Caenorhabditis elegans: one gene and its partners. The protein of the gene in region 2 purifies or fractionates together with the protein of the main gene of each other region. This does not show direct contact. Each region holds a gene or a part of one and is shown on either strand. Other genes may lie near its edges.

Region 1 (8,065 bases), on a different chromosome or scaffold from region 2:
CTATCTTTCGCCGGAAATTGCTGGAAATTTGATGATTGATTGGAGGGGTGATGTGTTGTTTCAACATGAACTACCGTTTTCACAAGAATCTGATGTTTATTCGTTTGGGTACGGGGGGATTTTATCGAATTTTTAATTTTTTTTGATTGAAAACCGCTTCCGAAATGCGAAAAATTGCGATTTTTGGCCAGAGGTCTCGCCACGATCGAAACTTCCCCAGCTACAGTCCCTCCGAGAACTTCGAAATTTCTTGGTTTTTTGGGGCGTTTTTCGTAATTTATGAATAAAAATGAGTAAATGTCAAGAAAAAGACAGAATTCAATTTTTGTCGACGTTTTTACTAAAAAGTACGGTATTCAGGGTCTCGCCACGACCGAAACTTTCCAGCTACCGTTCCCACGGGACTTTCGCAGTTTTCCGGATATTTGGCGTATTTTTCAAAATATCGGGAAAACTGCGAAATTCTCGGGGGTACGGTAGCTGGGAATTTTCGATCGTGGCAAGACCCCGGTATTTTGTCGTAAAAATTTCGAAAAAATTGAATTCTGCCATTTTCTTGACATTTACTCATTTTTATTCATAAATTACGAAAAACACACCAAGAAAACCAGGAAATTTCGTATTTTATCGGATTTTTAAGTGAAAACCGCTTTCGAATTGCGAAAAAAAATGCGATTTTTGGCCAGAAAATCCGGTAGCCTTGGGTCTCGCCACAAGAATTCGTTTTTAGAGCTCTTCTCCACGAGGAGTACACGAGCGAGCTGCGTAAATCGACAGCTCTTCCATTTTCAAATTTAATGGAGTTTGGGAGACCGATTTGCAAAATTTCACAAATTTTTACGAAAAACTACGGTAGCTCGGGGTCTCGCCACGATCGAAACTTCCCCAGCTACAGTACCCCCGAGAATTTCGTAATTTTCTTGATATTTGGCGTGTTGTTCGTAATTTATGGACAAAAATAAGTCAATGTCAAGAAAAAGACAGAATTCCATTTTTTTTTCAAAATTTTTACTAAAAAAGACGGTATTCAGGGTCTCGCCATGAACGAAACTTCCCAGCTACCGTACCTACGAGAATTTCGTAATTTTCCTGATATTTGGCGTATTTTTCAAAATATCGGGAAAACTGCGAAATTCTCGGGGGTACGGTAGCTGGGAATTTTCGATCGTGGCGAGACCCGGGCTACCGTTTTTTTTTCGTAAAAATTTGTGAAATTTTGCTAATCGGTGCTCTTCTTTTTAGCGAAAATTAAAAAATGGAAGAGCTGGAGCCTCTCTGTCGATTTACGCAGCTCTCTCGTGTACTCCTCGTGGAGAAGAGCCGAAGATTCTACAGTTTTTAGGTGAAATTCTCGGTTTTGCACCAATTTCGCTAGTTTTCTTCTGTGATTAACATCAAAATCGTCCATTTTTTGCTTATTTCTATGTATTTTGATGAAAATGCGAAAAAAAACACTCAAATTTGGAGTTTTTGACCAGTAAATTCATAAATTATGGATACTGGTCAAAAACTCTAAAATTGAGACTATTTTTGTATTTTTCACCAAAAAATGAACGATTTTGTGTGTTCAATACAAAAAAACCAGTGAAAATGGTCCAAAACTGAGAGTTTTAGCTAAAAATTGGAGAATCTTTACCTCTTCTCCACGAGGAGTACACGAGAGAGCTGCGTAAATCGACACATTGAGAAAAATTTGGAAAAAATCATTAAAAATGAAGATTTTTTCACAAAACTAGTGAAAAAAATCTCAATTTTTGAATATTTTGAGTTAAAAATCGACAATTTTTGAAAAAGCGAAAAAAATTTTTTTTTTAATATTTAAACTTTGAAATTAACACTGAAAAATGCTGCGTAAATCGACATATTGGGAAAAATTTAATAAAAATTAATTTTTTTTCAAAACTAGTCAAAAAACTATCATTTTTTATATTTAAAGTTTTAAAAATCAATAATTTGAAAATTTTCCCAATTTTCAGTACAATTTTCTTCGAACTCCTGCTCCGCCGTATGCCAACGGGCTGTGACTCTTGGGATCAGAAGCTCTACGCGAAAATGTGCGGCCAAAAAGCGGCACTTCAACGGCTCGACGCCCAGCTGCAAAAAATCGACGGAAAATTGCACGAACTGCTGCTGGAATGCTGGTCGAGCCAACCGGAGAAGCGGCCGAGTTTCCAACAAATTGTGAAGCGAATTACAGTTCAAATGCCGAGAAAAGAGTCGAATAAGCAGAAGAGACGCAGCACGGCACACGAGAATCCACTGTTTTAGTGTGTAGAATTATCGATTTTTTATGTACAGAGAGAGAGAGAGAGAAGAGAAAAGAAGAAGAAATTAGACATTTTATCCATTTAAATACCTATATATATATACAAATATTTATCCTATATTCATCCCTGCCCCTGCCATTGATCTTGTTTCATAATCATATCATAGTTTTATCAGAAAAAGAAAAAAAATCCCATTTTTCCATCATTTTTATCCGCGTTTTCCTATTTTCCTCCAAATTTCCCAAATTAATCCCGCCAAAAAAATTTTTTAATTTAAGTTTAATTTCCCGCCGTTTCCCTTCCTGTGCCATCCTTTTTCCCCCCTGAAAAGAAGCAAAAAACGAGTTTTATATACCACAACCGGATTCCTACTATATTAATTCCAATTTTATCCAATGATTTATTTATATTAAATTATATTTTCTTTTTTTCTACCATTTCTGTGCTGCCTTGAAATTTTTTTGTTCCCGCCTTCCTCCCCTGATATATAGTTATATATAGTTTTTCGACAAATTTTCAATTTTCAAATGAAAATATCGACTTTTTAGTTGGAATTTTTTGGGGATTATCCAGGAGTTTTTTACATATTTCATGTAATTTTATTCGCTGAAAATTGATTGAATTTCAGGATTTTCGCGCGAATTTTGGCTGAAATTGGGCATTTTTACGATTTTTCTCTCAAAAACTTGAAAAATTTAATATTTCCCTTTGAAATTTGCAAAATTAGGTTAAATTAAACCTAATTTTGTAAATTTTCGTTAAAAACCGTTAAACAAACCATTTTATTCAGTTTTACAATGAAAAACTAGCCGCGACGCGACACGCGCCGCTCCGTAAATCTACCCCGGCCGTAGCCGAGTCCAAATGGCCTAATTACCGACTTTTGCATAAAAATTGAGTTTTCAACACGATTTTTTCTCTAAAATTTACAACTTTGGAGAAAAATCGTGAAAAAAGCATTTTGGGCAGGTGTGCGCCTTTAAATTACTGTAACTTCGAACTTTGGTTGCTGTGGAATTTTAACCGATTTTTCATAGTTTTTGATTGAAAAAATTCCTACAGTAATCTTTAAAGGCGCACACCTGCTCGCAGTTCAAAAAAGGCGTGGCGAGACCTGGTACCGTAGTTTTGGCGCGAAAATCACAAAATTTGGCGTCTGGGCCTTAGAATAAGCAAGCGCGGCGCGGTTTTTTTTTGAATTTTTCTCTGTAAAATTTTTTTAAAAATCGCAAAATTCAGGATAAAAACGTCTTGGTAATTTTTTTTTCAGATTCCCCAGGAAGACCCTAAAAATGAAATCTCTTCGAGCAACTAACATCACAACGGCCAAAGCCGTCATCATTAAACCTCCCCACCACGTAATTCTCGGCAAGAAGCATCGCCGACGTGTTGGTGGCAATCTTCGGGATACCGCCATTTTCTGCGACTTTCTGACGTCATTTTGCTACGTGGCAATGGAAAGATGCTCGCCGAGCACGGCGGATTGGCCGAAAATGAAGTTTGGACAGGATTATGAGCATTCGAAATGCCCGGATGCACGATTTCAGCGACACGTTGAAGAAAATTGTCAGCTCGCGGAGCAATATATTGCGGCAGGACGATTATTGGCTTTTGAAGGTTTTTGGGCCTAAAATCTAGATTTTTAATTGATTTTATTGTATTTTTTGCTGTAGAAATGCTTTAAAACCCAGAAATAAAACTTGCGCGTCAAATACAATGCACTGCGTACACTTGCGGTGTTTGCACTGAGTGCATTTTAATTGACGCGCAAATCTTTTTTTCTGCATTTTTTTCGAAATTCTTGAATTTTTTAGCTAATTTCAGATGATTTTTGATTAAAAATAACTTGAAATTCTTCCAGTATGCATGGTAACACCGTCGGAAACTCAACTCGTCGGATTTCGTGTCACTATCAGCCGATTGAGGCGCCCTGATGGGTAAATCTTACAGAATTTGATGATTTTTCACTAAAATTTTATAATTTTCAGCCGTAGAAGTCCAAATATCTACGCCAGGCTCTCAGCGATTCTGGAGAAGGTTCGAACGATGGAAATTACGGAAAAATTGGATACAATGATGAGCTCCTGCAGTGAGTTGGCCAAAAAAAAAATCTTCTGAAAATGGGCCAAAATCGACGAAAAAAAAAACCATAAAATATGACTTCTCCAGTCAAAATCGGCAAAAAATGCACCAAAATCGACCAAAATTTACGTAATATTCGCTGAAAATGGTTTTTTAATCCAATTTCCACATATTTCTGAAAATTTTTGTCGATTTAGCTTATTTTCCACCGATTTAAACGGAAAATTCTCAAAAAACGACGAAAATTTGCGAAAAAATGGGAAAAATTCATTAAAAATTGTAAAAAAAATTATTTTTTTATTCAACTTCGCCAGTTTTTTGCAAAAAATTCTATCGATTTTGGCCTATTTTCCAGCGATTTGGGCTAAAAATTCCCAAAAAACGGGAAAAAAATTCAAATTTTCCAGAATATCGCCCTCGAATCCGCCTTCTCGCCCGTCTTCGCCCCCAATCCAAACGGAAAGCCGACAAATCCAAAGTGGCCGATAAATCTCAAACTTTTTCTCTTCCAATTTCAAATTCCATTCGATTAATGTACACTGGAATCTCATTTTATGCTTTTATGTAATTCTGAATTTTTGAAAAAAAACACAATATTTTTTTAGATCACAACGTATTTATTACTTCTTCTTCTTTTCAAGAAAAATAGTCCAGACAAGCCTAATGAGAGCCTGAAAGCCTGGAAATTTTGTCTTGATAGTGATCTATTCGATTTCAGTGAAAAAAATCGCAATCCGTACAGATGGTAGAGGTGGAAATGCGCAAAAAACGCCAAAATCTCAGTGGAAAGTTGGCAAATTTTCGGGAAATCGCAAATTTCGCGAGAGAAATTTGATACTTTTCCCAAAAAATAGCCAAGAAACAGGAAAAAAGATGGAAAAAAAAGTGGGAAGGAATGCGAAAACCTGGGAGATCGAGGTTCGACTCGCGCGAAAATTTAAAAATTAAGGCTTCTGAGAGATTTAAATGAATGGGTGGGTGGGTGAGGGGGAAAATTTAAAATTTTCAAAAAAAACCAATAGACTAGAGAACAAATTTAGCCGGGATTACTGTAGCAGCTAAACTGTGTGGATTATATATATTAAAAGATTATAAGATATTGATAGATATATAGGATTACTGTAGACTGTAGGCTTGGTTACTGTAGGATAGTGTGACCAGACTCGGGGGGATATGAACATTAAAATATGACGTGGCGAGACAGAGAGAGACAGAGAGAGATAGAGTGAGAGAGAGAGAGAGTGGGGGTGCTAACACAGAAATAACGAGACATAGAGAAAAAGAAGAAAAGATGGTACAAAAACAGAGTGAAAATAACCTAAAAAGGTCGATTTTCAGTATGGGGAAAAATGAAAAAAAATGAAAAAAGAAAAATCGATAATAGAGATTTAGAGGCCGCCCATTTTTCTTGGCGAGTTTTCCCAGAAAATATTGAAAAACTAATCGAGAAAAAGTGGCGTGTGACCCGGCCAAAATCAATTTTTGAAGTTGGGTACACACTTGATAATTATTGATTTTTGAGACTGTGAAAATCTCCAAATTTCCGTGGAAAAACAGTTTTTAGGCGAAAAATTTGGTAATTTTCAGTGAAAATCGACTGAAAATGGACAAAAATGTACGAATAATTAGCAAATTTGGCTAAAACTCAAGAAAATCGTAAAAATTCAGTGTAAAAAAAGATTTTGCCCGTCAATTAGAATGCACTCGGTGCAAACACCGCGAGTGTACGCAGTGCATTGTATTTGACGCGCAAGTTTTTTTTCATCGGTTTTTTCACGTTTTGTGCACAAAATCGACAAAAAACTTGGGAAAAAGCCAAAATATCAGAAAAAATCGATAAAATTTAATTTTCAATCAATATTTTGCAAATTTTCAGTCAAAATCGGCTAAAAATGCACTAAAATCGACCGAAAATTGCAAAATAGTGGCAGAAAATCAATTTTTTCCTGTTTTCTGCATTTTTGCAGATTTTCCCACGTTTTTTGCACGAAATCGGCAAAAAAAAAACTCGGAAAAATGTGTTTCGCAATTTTTTGTCGATTTTTACGGAAAATGCACCAAAATTTGCAAAAAAATTGAAAAAACCGTGCAAAATTTGAGAATTTTGGCTATTTTTTCACTAAATAATTCAAAATTTTCGCCGAAAGAAAACCCGTTTTTCCGGGAAATTTGGAGCCATTTTGAGCATTTTTGTGGGGGGCAAAAACCAATAATTAACAAAACATATAAGTGAAAATGGACAAAAAATGGAAGAAAAAGGTGAGGAAAAATCCAATATGTACAGGAAAATCATCACGTTTTGGTGGGGGGGAAAACTAAAGGAAAAAAACGCGAAAAAAAAGATGGGCGGTCTAAAATATCGAATTTCTAAGATTTTTCGGGTCAAAAAATGAAAACGGGACGGGGGAATACCTGTATTTGTACTATCGAATTCCGGGAAAGAAATTTCGAAAAAAAAACCGAAATATCTACAATGGTTCAGAATTTCTAGTAGCACACGGGGATTTCGCGGGGAATTTTTTCGATTTTTTTTTCTCTATTTTAACGAAAAAATCCCCCGCAGCAAGACAAACAAAATATATTGCAAATTAACAAAAAAAAAAGTGAAAATTTTCAAAAAAAGAAGCCAAAACTGTGATAAATTGTTGAGAGAGACGAATATGGATAAGTTTTGCAGGGGAAAATTAGATTATCTCAGTTTTTTAGGGGTTTTTTAGGCTTTTTAAGCCAAAATTTCAGTTCGAAAACCCAAAAAACCCCCCAAAAAATACACTAAAATAATCCAAAAATAAGGGGGAAATCCAGAATCCAGAAGCTTTAAGCCGAGGCGATTGCTGCGATGAGCTGTAGTGGACAGACACGAACTCCGAGCACATCAGTCTTTGGCTTCATCTCTTTTTGAGCAGCACGTCGTGGTGTCATTGTGATCATTGGAGCATCCGATGATGAGAGAGAAGATGTTGACGATGAAGCTGATGACGTCATTGAGATGGATGATGATGGACGGGATGAGTTTTCGAGCTGTCCGGGCACTTGGAGCTGAAAAATTGAGAAATTTTGAGGGATTTTTAGGCTGGAAAATGCAAGAAAATGCACTGGAAAGTGGAAAATTCGGAATTTTCAAAGAACTTTATGCTAGAAATTGTGATTTTGAGCTTAAAATGATTTTTTTTTTGGTAAAAATCGTCTTGGAGCTGAAAATTTGGAATTTTGAGGTTTTTTGAGCTTGAAAATGTCGATTTCAAGGTGAAAATGCTTTTTTTCACTGAAAATTGAAAAAAAAGGGCGAATTTGAATAAAAAATCAGAATTTGAACGGATTTTTATGCTAAAAAAGATAGATTTCGAGCTGAAAACGCCATTTTTTCAGTAAAAATCGACTTGGAGCTGAAAATTTGGAATTTTAAGGTTTTTTGAGCTGGAAAAACCTTTTTTAGCCGAAAAACGAAAAAATTCGAATTTTAAGATTTTTATGCTAGAATAGGTTGATTTGAAAATGCTTTTTTTCAGTAAAAATTGGAATAAAAATGGAGGATTTCAGTGGGAAATCCTTTTTTTAATAGACTTCTATGCTAAAAAAGATAGATTTTCAGCTGAAAACGCCTTTTTCTCAGTAAAAATCGACTTGTAACTGGAAAATTCGGAATTTTTAAGGTTTTATTCGCCAAAAAATGATGATTATGAGCTGGAAATGCATTTTTCAGTAGAAAACTGGAC
Region 2 (7,351 bases):
TGGTAGATATAAAATACAACTTACATAATGCAGAAGTAGACACATGAAAATTCTATGAGATTCTTCTCCGCATGTCGAATTTTCCATGGAAGCTTCTAATAACACATCGTAATAGTCGGTTGTGGGCTCTGTGTACACAAAAAGCACAGGCGTCGTGGTAGTAGGTACGGTAGTTGTGGTAGTAGGTACGGTAGTCGTGGTAGTAGGTACGGTGGTTGTGGTAGTTGGTACGGTAGTTGTGGTAGTTGATACGGTAGTTGTGGTAGTTGGTACGGTAGTTGTGGTAGTTGGTACGGTAGTTGTGGTAGTTGGTGCGGTAGTTGTGGTAGTTGGTACGGTAGTTGTGGTAGTTGATACGGTAGTTGTGGTAGTTGGTACGGTAGTTGTGGTAGTTGGTACGGTAGTTGTGGTAGTTGATACGGTAGTTGTGGTAGTTGGTACGGTAGTTGTGGTAGTTGGTACGGTAGTTGTGGTAGTTGATACGGTAGTTGTGGTAGTTGGTACGGTAGTTGTGGTAGTTGGTACGGTAGTCGTGGTAGTTGGTACCGATGTTGTGGTAGTTGGTACGGTAGTTGTGGTAGTTGGTACGGTAGTTGTGGTAGTTGGTACGGTAGTTGTGGTAGTTGGTACGGTAGTTGTGGTAGTTGATACGGTAGTTGTGGTAGTTGGTACGGTAGTTGTGGTAGTTGATACGGTAGTTGTGGTAGTTGGTACGGTAGTTGTGGTAGTTGGTACGGTAGTCGTGGTAGTTGGTACCGATGTTGTGGTAGTTGGTACGGTAGTTGTGGTAGTTGGTACGGTAGTTGTGGTAGTTGGTACGGTAGTTGTGGTAGTTGGTACGGTAGTTGTGGTAGTTGATACGGTAGTTGTGGTAGTTGGTACGGTAGTTGTGGTAGTTGGTACGGTAGTTGTGGTAGTTGATACGGTAGTTGTGGTAGTTGGTACGGTAGTTGTGGTAGTTGGTACGGTAGTCGTGGTAGTTGGTACCGATGTTGTGGTTGTCGGTACAGAAGCTGTGGTGGTTGATAGTTCAGAGGGCGTGGTAGTTAATTTTGTTGGAATCGTCGGGCGCGTGGGTTTTAATGACGTCGGTTCATTTCTTCTGACCTTTGCGAGCCCACAGATTTGGTCTATACTTTTCGAATATCCAGCAAAGCAATACTTGTTCTCATCGTTACAGTATCTCTGTAAATGTATTTTATTGTTTCATCCGTGTTTTTTATTAAATGTTTCAAAAACTCACTTCAATATCCGTACAGTAACCTGATGAGGACTTTTCCACAGCTAACTTCAGAGCAATCACACAGCTTCTCGACGATCCCAACTGACAAATCTCATCTGTGGGTGCCAGATATGCGTATTTTGCAAGAAATATTATAGAAAACAGTATTTTCAAAACCATGTTGGAAGGGTCTGAAAATATGGAAACAAGCTGCTTAAAGGCGAGTTTTTGGGATTTGTGTTTAACAAATGGAGGGCGAGTTAAATTAGAGTATTGGTATCTGTATATTTTAGTCATTAAAATAGATTATTCGGTAGAAATGTAATTTTTTTCAAAAAGTATTCCTGTTTCACCAAATGTTAGCGGAAAATCTTTTCGGAGTTTCTTCAGCTTTTTAGGTTCCCTTCTATATTTTCATAAATTTAAATGGTTCCCCCACAAACCTAAATTGTTCTATCTGAGAAAAACTGCTTCAACTGTCACATATTCCAAAATTTCAATTCAAAAAAAAATTCCAAAAACTTCTGCCTTTTGCATTGCATTCCGTGGTTACAAAAAACCCGCTTCCTCTTCAATTCCAAATTATTTTCTAATCCAATTATGTTCAATGTGTCTTCTGTCATATCCTTGACAATTTTTTGAAATTTTTTGAACTTTTTACTGTTGTATTCGGTTATTAGAGTCTAATTTCTGTCATTTAAAGCAAAAAAAAAACCTTCAACTATCATTTACTATATATAAAGCGCTTATTCCGTTTGTCCATAGTTTGTAGTCTATGTAGTCTTTGTAGTCTGTGACGTTTTGGCTTCTGGAGGGATAGTGAGTTGGGCTTAGTGTAGGGATATAGTCAGGGTACTGTAGTGGTACAATAGTGGTACGGTAGGAGTACTGTATGATTACGGTAGCTTCAAAAAAATTAGTTTTCAGCTCCAGAAGTCGGGGGCCGCGCCGGAGGTGCGGACCACGGCTGGTAAAAAAAAATTGTCATTTCATAAATGCATTTATCACAAACTATATTTAATATCACTGATGTTTCATCTCACTCCACTTGGTTGGATTTGCCCTTTCTACCAAACCTGGAACTGCTTTTTCTGTCGAACTAACTGGGACTTCCTTTTCAGTCAAACTTTCCGTATAAACGTGATCACTAGTTGCACCTGCAACCAAATACAGAACCTCAATTTGACTTCTAGTGCATGATGGAGTGTCCTTAAGTTTTTTGGCAATACAGTCCACCATTGGATTGATTTCCTTTACCGAATCCGACTTGTCTTTTGGCAAAACTTCGACTTTTTCCTCAAAGACTCGGGCTGACTTTTCGCAGTGTTCAGAGGCTTTGGCAATGTCGGCCTGAACATTTAAATATTGCGGTTTCAAGAATTATATAAATACTTAAGTCAACTTACATCTCGGAAGCACATGAACGCGTCTCCATCAATCTTCATTCCCACCGATAGGGAACGTTTCATCAGGGAAATGGTGACTTGTGGTAGTTCACACGTGTATTCGGTGGTTTCTAATTTCAAACAGTCCACGACAAATTGAAGATGTGCAAGTTGAAGGCTCACCAATTTATAATCAGAGAGAGATTTATATTCCAGGACTGGGAACACGGACTCTATGTACCTCTGAAAATCTCGGATGGAAACTTATAATTCGCGCGGCCGACATCTGCCGGGCTGGTAGATATAAAGTACAACTTACATAATGCGGAAGTAGACACATGAAAATTTTATGAGATTCTTCTCCGCATGTCGAATTTTCCATGGAAGTTTCCAATAACACATCGTAATAGTCGGCTGTAGCACTTGGAAAACCAAGGAAAAGCACGAGAAGACAATATTTCAGCATTGGGATTTGGTGTGAGGAACACAACTGAATTGATTCCCTTTTTATATTGTTTCATTTTTAAAAACAAACTCTATGAAAAGATCGGAAAAATCAGGGTTGAATTAAAAACATGACAAATCCACTGTAAATCGAGATTCGATATAAATGCAAAATGTATTTTTGGAAAAAAAATCTGATTCAAAATTTAGACGGATACTAGGAAAGAAGTTCAACATTTTTAAGAAAAGTTAAGGCAAATTGAAGAATACTTGAATCTGTGATAATTTTTTGTATGTTTTCAAAATTGAGCATAATTTGTTTCTTTATTTAATTTCTGGCGAATAAAAATTTTGTTTCACAAATATAATCATAAAAAAATTTTCTGACAAGTTTAATGATATAGCTGTGGTATAGCACACATTTTTGAAACTTCTCATACAAGTTTCACATGTGAAATTTTCAAAAAAATTGTTTCAAGCTCCTTCCAATAGTAGCGTAGTTTCCTTTGATTCGATAAACTTAAAAAAATCAAAAAAAAAAATCTCAGAAAAGCAACGATAAAATTCAATTTTTCATCAAATTCTGTTGTTGTTAATGAAAAAACTAAAGTATATAATGTTTTCTATAAAAAAAATGGTCAAATGTTTTGAAATATTTTTCGAAAAATCAAAAAATCGGAAAAATCGACACCCATGACTTCGCTGCATCATGTTAAACGGTTATTAAAATTCTTTAAAAGTTCATTAGATAATTTATTAGTTCAACTGTTCAAATTATGCAAAAAAATAAAATACATTTTAATGAAACCATAGTTGACTTTTTTAAATTCAAATTTTGAGGTTATAAAATAAAAAGATCGTTGAACTTCCAGTTGATTGAATATTTCTTTTCTGCCAAAAGTTAACAGATTTACGGTTTCAAGAATTATACTAGTATTATTAGTACATTAGTATTATTAATTTCATAGTTATTTCATGAATAATATTATACATTTAAAAAAAACACACACACATTAGCCTTACTTACATCTCGGAAGCATTTGAACTCGTCTCCATATACTTTCTTTCCCATTTATTGGCATAAATTGAAATGCACTCGAAACAATGATATTATTTTCGGTGTAAAAATAAAACATTTAAAAAAAAATTATATATTTTTGATAAGTCTTAAAGAAGTTAAATAAGTTCAAGATGTCAGATGAAGAACGGACCAACAATTCTAGACATTTTCCACCCAAATTATTAAAATTTTGAAACAGAAATATTTGTAAAGTTTTTTCTCTCAATGGTACATTGTTATCAATATGATTCAGAGTTTTTGTTTCCTATGATTTCATTCATTTTTAAAAACATTTTCTCCTGAACGTTTCCCTTTATTTTCAGAGTTATGTTTTGAAACGAATCCTCTATAAAATGGGCGCAACAATATCAATATTCCTCACTGAAAACCATGTCGAAAACTGTACTTTTTGTGCTTTTCCTTGCTTTTCCAACTGTAACAGTTGCCGACTTCTTGGACGATTTTTTGAAGCATGCATCAGATAATCCGTCATGCTCCGAAGAATTCAAAAAAATTCTGGCATGCGCTCAGCCACATTTTGTAAGTTTTCCAGGATATTGAAGAATTCCAGAGTAAATGCTGAAATGGTAATTTGACACCAAAGTGTTATATAGCGCCCGACACTACGCGGGTTCCTTAGTTGAACCTGTTTCAGCTCGGAAAAATTGGAATTTCAGGAACTAATCAGAGAAGTCTACCCAAAACTGAATTCTATATCAACACTTTACAACATTGGTTTGATGAATAAAGGACTTCAACTTGTTGAGAATGTGACCATCTGTCTGGGAGAAGAAAAAAGAGACTTCAAGTGCACACTACCAAAGATTGTAGTTACTTCATTGGATTATGCCCAATACATTGGCAAGAAAGTTTATGGAGACGCTTTCCACTGTTTCATAAATGTAAGGAATCTATTTTGAAACAGGTTTACGAAAATCTTTACGAAATTATTTTCAGAATGAAAACAAGTATTCATCAAAATGATGAAACAGAAAACTATTTTTCAGAAAACTATTAGATAAAATTTCAGGTTAACGCAATCGAAACATTCCAAATCTGTGCAGCGGAAAATCAACAGCCCCGGAATATCCACGAAAACGTTTTAAATGATGAAAGTGCCTACAAAAAGATAGCACAACCAATAGTTGAATGTATGGCCAAAAAGATGTACGAGACTCCATCCTGCACCATCGATCGAATTGTCGAGTTGTACCATGCTGGAGAGGCCGGACTTGATTTGTATTACTCATTGTTAAAGTTCGTGAAGGGAGTACAAGTTGAACGGAGCTTCAGTGATAACAACTATTGCCGTGCTTAATAATTGTGTTTAAAAAAGTGCAAAATTCCTTAACGGAATGAAGATTTTTTATCACATAGTTCTGAAACAGTAAATTAATATTTTGAAAATAATTGTCCTAATTCAATTACTCAAAACTTTTTGAGGGCCGTATTTTCGAATCTCGAAATGGAATTCCAATTTCATAGTTCATGACAATTTTTCAGCACATTTTTTTAATAGAATATTTGACTAGGCTCCACCCACAAAATGGAAAGCAAGAAAAACACGTCCTTCTTTTTTCCGTTCATTTTATTAATAAAAAAATGCGTGACAAAATTTCAAAAAAAAAAGGCCACTTCACGTGGAATAATATCACATTACATCTTCCACGTCACCTTTGCTTATTTCTCAATTTATTTATTTTTACCACCATTGATACATTTTGGTAATGAAAGAAAATCTTCGAAAACCGCCGGGTAAGCTCTTTAAATGTTTTTCTCTGATTAAAAATGTTTAATTTCAGAGCATTTTCCACTGGGATCTCATTCCACCATTTTGCACGTACCCAAGAGCTCCACAAATTATTCGTTTCGAATTCGAAATATTCATAATGTGAAGTGGTAAGAGGTTTTGATTTTAAATAAAAAAGGTGAATTTAAGAGAAAATATATTTTTTTTATTAAAATCGATATGAGAGGCAGGAACTGCCTTTGCAAACCTCTTCAAAATTAGAAAGTTTCGTGAAACCGCATTTTTTTTTCTTATTTTTTTGCAAATTTTCTCAATATTTCTAGTTCGAAGGTTTAAAGGCAATTTTGAAACAATAACTGAGTAATAATACAATTGTAAATATTATTTTTTTCAAAAATTTTTCTGTAGAACACTGACTTTGAAAATTTATGTGTTTTTTTTTAATTTTTTTCCCAAAACATTCAGTGAGAATATCAATCATATTGGAAAATTTATAAAGTAATTTTCTTGAAACAGTGGAATTTTTCCAGGAAACTTAACGTGGAAACTTTGAATTCTGTGCCAACCGACAAAATAAATTTAAAATTGTCAAAAGAACTCAACAAAAACACTGATACAAACAAAATTGACTCGATTCAAATAGATTATGGGTTTACCATCAAAAACCACGTGAATTCAAATAATTCTATCGTAGTTAAAGGAACATTTACATTTGGAGGGAATGAAAATGAGCTGAATGTGGAAATGTCAGAAAATGAAAAGATTATTGAAGACAGCAATGGATTTTATGATTTAAAAACTCAGAAACTGGAATTAGAATGCAGTTTTATAGTTCGATCGGCGGAGTTGTGTGATTTTGTGGAATATCTCGATTTGTACAATTTTAATCCAGTTATTCATGATACGGAGGCCAATGTGCTGGGAGTTCGAATGTTTTTGAATAAAAAGGTAAGGAATCCCAAACTAAATCATCCAAAACAATAAATAAATATAATTGAAAATATCTGCTGTTTCACATAGTTTTTATAAAAACCCCTACACTATCTTCCACACTATCTCCTCAATTTTTTCTAGATTATCATTTTCATTATAAATTTTTTAAAAATCCTTATTGAAAATAGTCTCCATTTGTATAGTACATGTTGTAGGGAAACATTGAATCTGTTTTTAGATATATTTTTCAAAAAAAAAAAATCATAAGTTTTGAAAATGTTGAGAGTCAATTTTCGAGACATGCGTTAAATACTTTATTTAATCAATTGAAAAATAGGGATATTTCGTGAACTGTGAGAAAAGCTAGATAGGCTTCAATGAAAAATTTCAAAAAAAAAAGTAACTTACGTTACATTTGAACAGTAAGCGAAAAATTTAAATCTTCCCCCGCTTCACATATTCCATATGAAAAGTCACACAAATACGTTACAATACCACTTGCTCTTTTGCTCATTTTTTCCAAATTTTCGCTGATTTTTTTTGTTGATTTTCCCGCC
Region 3 (7,001 bases), on a different chromosome or scaffold from region 2:
GAAATTCCTGGTGTGAAAGTCTACGTGTACAGTACCTTCTTCCCTTATTACGAACAATATCTGACTCTGAGCACAACTGTATATACTCTTGTAGTTCTGGTTCTTTTTGTTGCTTTCGTCACGATTTCCCTATTTTTACGCGTTAATTTGGCTGGAAGTTTAGTCACTGGTGAGTTTTACAGTTACTTTGATATAATTTCAAATGTCTAGATACGTGAAATAGATTATTAATAAAGGAAGAAGGGATATGTAGGGCACATGACGTTGTGTAAGATAGTTGATTTAGACATTTTCAGTATTTGTACTCCTCTCATCATATCTTCACTTGATGGAATGGATGTATCTACTCGGAATCACAGTGAATGTAGTATCAGTTATCAATATGGCAATGGTAAATTCATATTTTGGTAGACACCTATAGGTAATTTAAGATTTTCAGTCTCTTGGAATCGCTGTTGAGTTTTTTGGGCAAATGCTACATGGATTCTATAACTCAAAAAAACCGAAAAGGGAAGAAAGAGCATTCGCTGCACTTGTCAGTAATGGATCTACGGTAACTTTACCAATTGTCTTCATATTCTAGATTCAAATACATTTAGACATTGTCCGGAATCTTCCCTGCTATCATGATCACCGCTGGATGTCTTTCATTTGCTGATTCTCGTGTGCTCATCACATACTTCTGCAATCAACTTGTTGGAATTGGTCTTGTTTGTGCAGTTCATGGAGTTGTTTACATGCCAACACTTTTGGCAATTTTCGGATCGGATTTCTATCAGAATGTGAGCAGTGAAGAAGAATCAACCGATGAAGCAGAACTGCAGGATACTCCTCCATCGACCACATCAAGTACTTCCAGCACTTCTGAAACATCTGTCTGATTCCTTTCATTCTCTTTTGTACATTTTCTAATCATTCCCGTATAGAATGATCTCTATGTTCGTTTACAATGTGTATGAATCCCTCTGAATCATATTTATAATAAAATGTGTTCTATGTGTGCTTTTTATTATAAGATCATTTTTTTAAGGAATTCCTCAATACGAAATAATATGTTTAACACGAATGTAATGTGGCCACTAAAAATTGCAAGAAAAACTGAGTGATGCATTCGCGCTCCATTGACAAACAATTTCTCTTTCACTAAAAATTTTCAAGATGCGAGCTCAATTTTGCATAAATTACTTTATAAATACTAAATTCCGTTATTTTCAAACGTATTTTAATTTATTAATTTATTTATTCCGATTTCAGATGCTCAGAATAGTCTTAGCCCGCTCAAGTAGAGCAATGAGCTCTGCTTCGCCAGCGTCTGCGTAAGTATCATTCGTTTCTCTTATTTCTTTCAATAAATAATCGTGTTTCAGGTCAGATAGCGACACTTCAGTTCGAAAAATTGGTAAAGCACTGGAAACTTATTTGAAACACAGTCAACAACATGTGGCGATGATGGAGAAACACAGGTTTATCGATTTTTGAAGTGAAAATCGTTAATAAAGCATTTTAAGAGCAGAGTTCGAGACAGGACGTCGACATCTTGCCAAAATGATGAGTCTTGACATTCATGAACTCGATCAAGAGGCAATTGACAGGTTTTGTAACAGTGTTTTGTCATATTTATCATAATTGGCATTTTCAGAGCAATCCTATATTTATTTCCTTCTGGATTAACCGACCCAAATGCTCGTCCAGTTATGAGACCACCAGATGAAATTCTTCCAAAATTCCAAAGATTCACATTTGACGAAGAAGGAAAACCAGAAGGATCCCGATTTTTCACATTAAGTCCAAAAATTTACGGGCTTTTGTCGGATATTGGAGTCAAAACGCATTCTGTTATGAAGTTTTATGATGAACATGTTGGAAGTCGATCGGTAAATCGAAGTGATTTGGAACCAGCGTAATTAGTAACCATTTTTTCTACTGAAACATTTATTAATTTTCAGAAATCTGAGCGGTTCTCAATGGGTTACAGCTGACAAATTGAAGAAAAAGCTCTCGGAAAAATTTTCAAAAGAATTGTACGGACAAGTCATCATTGCATTTGAGCATCTTGCTTCATTACCAGGATCAGCTATTGAACAAAAGTTTTTGATGGAATTCAGAGAGCCAATGACCGCTTCAACTGGATCCAAATTGTTCGGTCCTGCGATTCCTGAAGTGCATGTTTGTGCAGTGACCAACAGAAGATATGCAGAAGTGACGTGAGTTGTCCTTCTTTTAAAAGACAGCAGAGAATTTTTGCCAAAAATCTAATGATTTGATAACCTTAAAATTAGTTTTGCCATTAAAAATACTTGTAATTTTTAATTAAACAAATTTTCTCTAATTGTAAACTGAATAATTGAACAGTTTTTTTTTCAGAACACGATGTAAAGATACTCGTGCTACAGTTAAGGTCACAGACGCAGGAAAAGGAAAATTCGATATTGATGGTCTCCAATTGCACGATTTCAGGCATCTTCAAGCCAGGTATATTTTGCGAACATCGAATTTTTCTGATAACATAATTTCAGAGAGATTCTTCTTGCACCAATGATTGTCAGTCAGTCTCTCGGTCGATTTGATGTAACAGCGACAACTTCATGTATTTCTAATACTCTTCCAGAAGCACCAAACAAGGCGCCATTGTGAGACTATTAAAATTTGTTACTCTGCAACAGTATAATCACTTTCTGCAGAATGCGAAGTGGAGGAATGAGTGCTCTACCGCGTGCTGTTCGCCATGGAACTGCACTTTGTGTTGCCGCTTTGCAACCAGAAGCTATCGAACCACTAAGATTATGTAAGGACATTTATTTTGTAAAAAACTTATAAATTCCTAAATTACAGCTGGACTTCTAACACTGGACCCACGGAAAAACGAAAGAAGCAAGGTGAATCAACCGGGTGCTCGTGCTAAATGGATCTGGAAACGTCGTTAATTTATGAATACCCACTTTAATTTTGTTTTTGTTAATTGGTAGGAAGTTTTCAACTAGAATTCTTGTTTTTATTGTTTTTTTAGACTTTTGAAAAATGAAATTTATAAAATAGAAAAGCATACATAACGAGACATCAATTCAAAAATGGGTTTGGTTACTTTTCAGGGAAGGAATGCACTGGGGGGGGGGGGGGGGGAGGTAAAGTGAGTAAGTTTTTAATCAGTATCTACACGTTTCTTGAGGATGCAAAAGTGTCCGCCGATTTGGAACATTTCAATTTGGAAGTCGTCGTATTGAACTTGGATCGTGTGCACTTTTAGATCACGGAGTTCAGTTCCTTGAGTTCGAGTTGCCATTCGCATTGCATTGTAGGCAATTTGACGAGGGTTCTCCGCTTCGAGGAAAGTGCTGTGGGCCTGGAAAATTTTTTAATTAAAATTTCTTACCAAAAAAATGTGTAAATTTATATTTAGAATTGAGCAACAAGTATTTTTTCTAGAAATTATTTTATAAAATCTTACAATTGTATTTCCTTTGCAAATCATGAAAGCGAGGACTCCGGGAATCTGCTGAAGGTTTTCCAATGTGTACTTTGGCTTGGACTTTTTGTTTGATTTGCTCATTCTGGAAAAAAACGTCATTTTTGTATAATTAATCAAGAGCAGATGAGGAAGAATAAAACAGTGCAAAATAAATATGGAGCAAACATGACTCGTGAGCATTTCTGGTCAAAAATACATTAGGCCACGGCCACCACTTTACACTTGAAAAATTTCGGTCAATACATACATCACGGCTGTTTTGGACGAGAAGAGACAGAGATCGTCAAACAGAAAAAAACTGAGAGAAAGAAACGAAGAAAAAATATCGTTTTTTTCAGAAAGTGGGTCGATGATGATGGGAATGAATGAAACAATTCAGTAGGTGGTGAGAGATGCGATTATATTTTGTTCTTATATTTTCTGTGATTTTTACAACTGGAAATGGCAAAATTCAGTGCAAGAATATGCGTGGAAAATCTGTGGACTGGTGAGTATTCTTACTCTTAGGCTTCATGCCTTCAGAAAAATTAATCTGAAACCAAAAAACTTCAGGTTTGTCGTTTATAAACTTCCAAAACTTTCCGGCGCTGGAACATCTGGAAAAGAATTTGTTTATTTCGATGCCGAATCATCAGATTGGACACGTGGAAATGACATAAATGATCCAAATGTTGCTGTGGGAGCAACAGTTTCCCAAGTGTATTCTGCTGATAAATCAAACAATTTTTGGTTCATGTACAGTGATGATGATCCTATAAAGTCAGCTGATTCATATAGAGGACATGCGAAAGGAGTATCACTTTTTGATTCAACTACTGGATTTTGGTTAATTCATAGTGTACCGAATTTTCCACCCATCAAAAGCTTTTCCTATCCGAACACGGCTGAGAAATATGGACAATCATTTTTCTGCGCATCAATGGAAGTTCAACATCTAACAGAGCTCGCAGAGCATTGGAAATATATTCAGGTATGTTTAGAAAAACCTGTTATAAAGTTTTTTAAAGCTACTTTTGAACGAATTTTGACTGCCTGGCTTATAAATCTAAAAGACGCATGAAAAAGTTAACAACAAATTTTTCAACTGATTGTTTATAAAGTTTCCTAGCTTTTCAAACACTAATAAGAAAATAAAATCGACTGATATAATTATATAAAATTCAAAAGATAAACAAAGAAAAAGAACAAGAAAAACCGTTCAAGTAAACGCGCTCCATTGATAATAGAAGCTTATGGTAGTCGGCGTGGCTTAAGATTACAAGCACAGAAATAGTTTTACGAGTATCAAAAAGAGTGAAACTTAACGGATTTGACCGGATTGAGCCAGATGGGTAAATTCTGAAAAAAAAATCAAAAAATAAATAATCGAGTCGCTTAATATAAATTAAATTTTTGGCGAGTAATCGCTTCATTGATAACATTTTAAGCGGAAATTTGAATTTTAGTAACTGTAGCATACTTTCAGGCGACTCCCTACATAATAAATATACCGGAAAAATATGCAACTCGATTCCCTACATTGAAAAATGTTGAAGCTAAACAAAGTCTGCCACGTTCAGCCACTCAATTTTGGATCTCAAAGCCGATTAAAACCGTACAAGGAGTTACATTGATGGCCTACGCCAAACATAAAAAGTTTGATGGAGGTAAATTGGAAAATTATATTTAAAACTGTAATAGGGCTATGAGCTTAAACAGATATTTGGAATGATTTGATATCCCGCCAAAATAAAGTAACACTAGCAGTGGAGAGTTGGTTGAATGGCAGTGGAGACGATATTCATACAACTTGTACGAGTACTAGTCAGGTATGAAATTGATAATTTCAGACGTGAAATAAATCAGAATTTCAGACTCATGACGTCACAGAAATGCGTGTAACCGGGCTGAACTTCGCGAGCTCGAAGGATCATTCGAAATGGGCGGTTTCAAATTCTCAGACCAATCCGATTGTTTGTTTTGGAGATATGAATAGGCAGGTTGGTCACATATCGTTTTTTAAGGATCACAGACTCGCCACGAAAAACATTCAATCATAAACTTGAAGAGTATTCATAAAGTGAAATAGCACACTTTTTGTTTTCAGAAATCACAACTGAAACGTGGCGGTGGAGCATTGTGCATTCAAAATAGAAATCTTTGGCAATTATATCATTCTTTTGTTATTCAAGTTGAACCGTGTAAATCTTCTTCTCATTTTTCCATGTTCCAAACAATTGCCACTCTCCTTTCCGCAGCCGGCCTGGTATCAAAGATTTGAAAAGAAAAATGGCCAAAAAAAGTTGGGCGAAAAATTCCAAACTATTAAGGCCAAGCTTCTTCAAAGTACTCAGTTATCTATATTTCAGAATGTACTCCTCTGAAAATTGAACCTCTTTTTGTTGCTTTAACATAAATTAATTGCGGGTGAATTATAACACTTCTGTTTGACAACAAAACTAACAAATTTTAATTTCTAAAAACTTCATAGTCAGAAAAAAAATTAAAAAATAACTTAAAATAATTATCAAAATCTTCTAGTCTGTTCTCTGCCAAAAATTTGTTCTCGGGTAATAGACACGATGCTTTGGATCTGAAAATTAGTATTTTTTATAAATACCAAGTAATCATGTGTAGTCAGAGTATTCCATAGTTATTTAGCGTCTGAAACATGTGGTAACCTCATTTTTTGGCAGTAGGACGTCTCAGGCCCGTAAATTAACACGGAGTTCGGTAGAGCGTCGCCAACTTTCGCGGTAACGTAATATAGAAAATAAGAAAACAGCGACGTCATAATTCCTAAAAAATGAGGCTGATATGTTTTCCAAAGCCCAGACCAACACTCTATATATAAAATCAAATATATAAAGCTTACCAGGCCGAGAAGAATTCAACAAAACTTCAATCCAAATAAGTAAATATACTAGACAAAGGAACACAAAAGTCATGATGATGACGAGTAGAAAATCAAAGTATTTGGTAGGATAGGAGATGCTGAAATTTGTTTTTTAAATCTTAACAAATAAGAAAAAGAAAAATTACCGATTACATGAGGAGCTCCATTGAAGAAATTCTTCAATTAGGTATTTATAATTGAACGAAGAACTGGCGTAGTTGTTGATATTTTCTTTTGGAAAAGTCATGGTTTTTCAGAAAAGAATATCAAAAAGTAAATTTTATAAAATATTAATTTCAAAATTGTGCACATAACGTGACAATACATAATCCACATTCTCTTTTACAATATGCACATGCTCCTTGTTGCTCTTTTCCTTCTTTATGTATTTTATCCGGAATCGTCACGATTGTTGGCTGAACTGTAATTGGAGCAATTTTCTGAGATGGCAGTTTTGGTTTCTGTGGTTTTGGTGGCGGCGAAGAAGCTGGAAGTTCGGGAGAAGGAAGTGCAAATTTCACTTTCTTTTCAGGTTCCAGATCTTCTTTTGTTGTTTCGGTAGTTGGTTTTCGAACCGGAGATGGTGTTCTTCTATAATTGTCCCCAATTGGACCTCGATCGAAATCAGTTAGAGTTCCTAGTTCAGAGGCTAAAAAGTTA

Evidence for each region. Proteins that work in one complex are often made in the same cells at the same time.
Region 1: the proteins of F55B11.3 (region 2) and F58D5.9 fractionate together in Caenorhabditis elegans (co-fractionation; one large-scale study listed by BioGRID). This does not show direct contact.
Region 3: the proteins of F55B11.3 (region 2) and F09G8.7 fractionate together in Caenorhabditis elegans (co-fractionation; one large-scale study listed by BioGRID). This does not show direct contact.

What each region holds. Positions count from the first base shown.
Region 1 is NC_003279.8:12,042,088-12,050,152, reverse strand, and holds F58D5.9 (Cystatin domain-containing protein), read left to right. Parts: upstream 1-3,534; 5' UTR 3,535-3,559; coding exon 3,560-3,884; intron 3,885-4,128; coding exon 4,129-4,204; intron 4,205-4,255; coding exon 4,256-4,356; intron 4,357-4,756; coding exon 4,757-4,917; 3' UTR 4,918-4,952; downstream 4,953-8,065. Other genes in the region: ksr-2 (Kinase suppressor of Ras B), read left to right, coding at 1-108, 1,977-2,268; F58D5.5 (uncharacterized protein), read right to left, coding at 7,167-7,388.
Region 2 is NC_003282.8:14,420,431-14,427,781, reverse strand, and holds F55B11.3 (DUF19 domain-containing protein), read right to left. Parts: upstream 3,087-7,351; 5' UTR 3,074-3,086; coding exon 2,927-3,073; intron 2,851-2,926; coding exon 2,629-2,850; intron 2,573-2,628; coding exon 2,246-2,572; 3' UTR 2,213-2,245; downstream 1-2,212. Other genes in the region: F55B11.5 (HORMA domain-containing protein), read right to left, coding at 25-87; F55B11.2 (DUF19 domain-containing protein), read left to right, coding at 4,502-4,651, 4,789-5,013, 5,142-5,429; F55B11.7 (BTB domain-containing protein), read left to right, coding at 5,839-5,866, 5,914-6,010, 6,392-6,809.
Region 3 is NC_003281.10:8,264,808-8,271,808, forward strand, and holds F09G8.7 (uncharacterized protein), read right to left. Parts: upstream 3,549-7,001; 5' UTR 3,548-3,548; coding exon 3,446-3,547; intron 3,341-3,445; coding exon 3,140-3,340; 3' UTR 3,114-3,139; downstream 1-3,113. Other genes in the region: ncr-2 (NPC intracellular cholesterol transporter 1 homolog 2), read left to right, coding at 1-169, 297-391, 440-553, 600-881; mrps-9 (Small ribosomal subunit protein uS9m), read left to right, coding at 1,255-1,316, 1,368-1,463, 1,509-1,592, 1,640-1,900, 1,947-2,204, 2,365-2,472, 2,517-2,630, 2,682-2,785 and 1 more; crn-7 (Cell-death-related nuclease 7), read left to right, coding at 3,859-3,953, 4,019-4,436, 4,932-5,112, 5,165-5,274, 5,320-5,445, 5,553-5,726; mps-4 (MinK-related peptide, potassium channel accessory subunit protein 4), read right to left, coding at 5,983-6,038, 6,321-6,439, 6,488-6,588; F09G8.10 (uncharacterized protein), read right to left, coding at 6,638-6,990.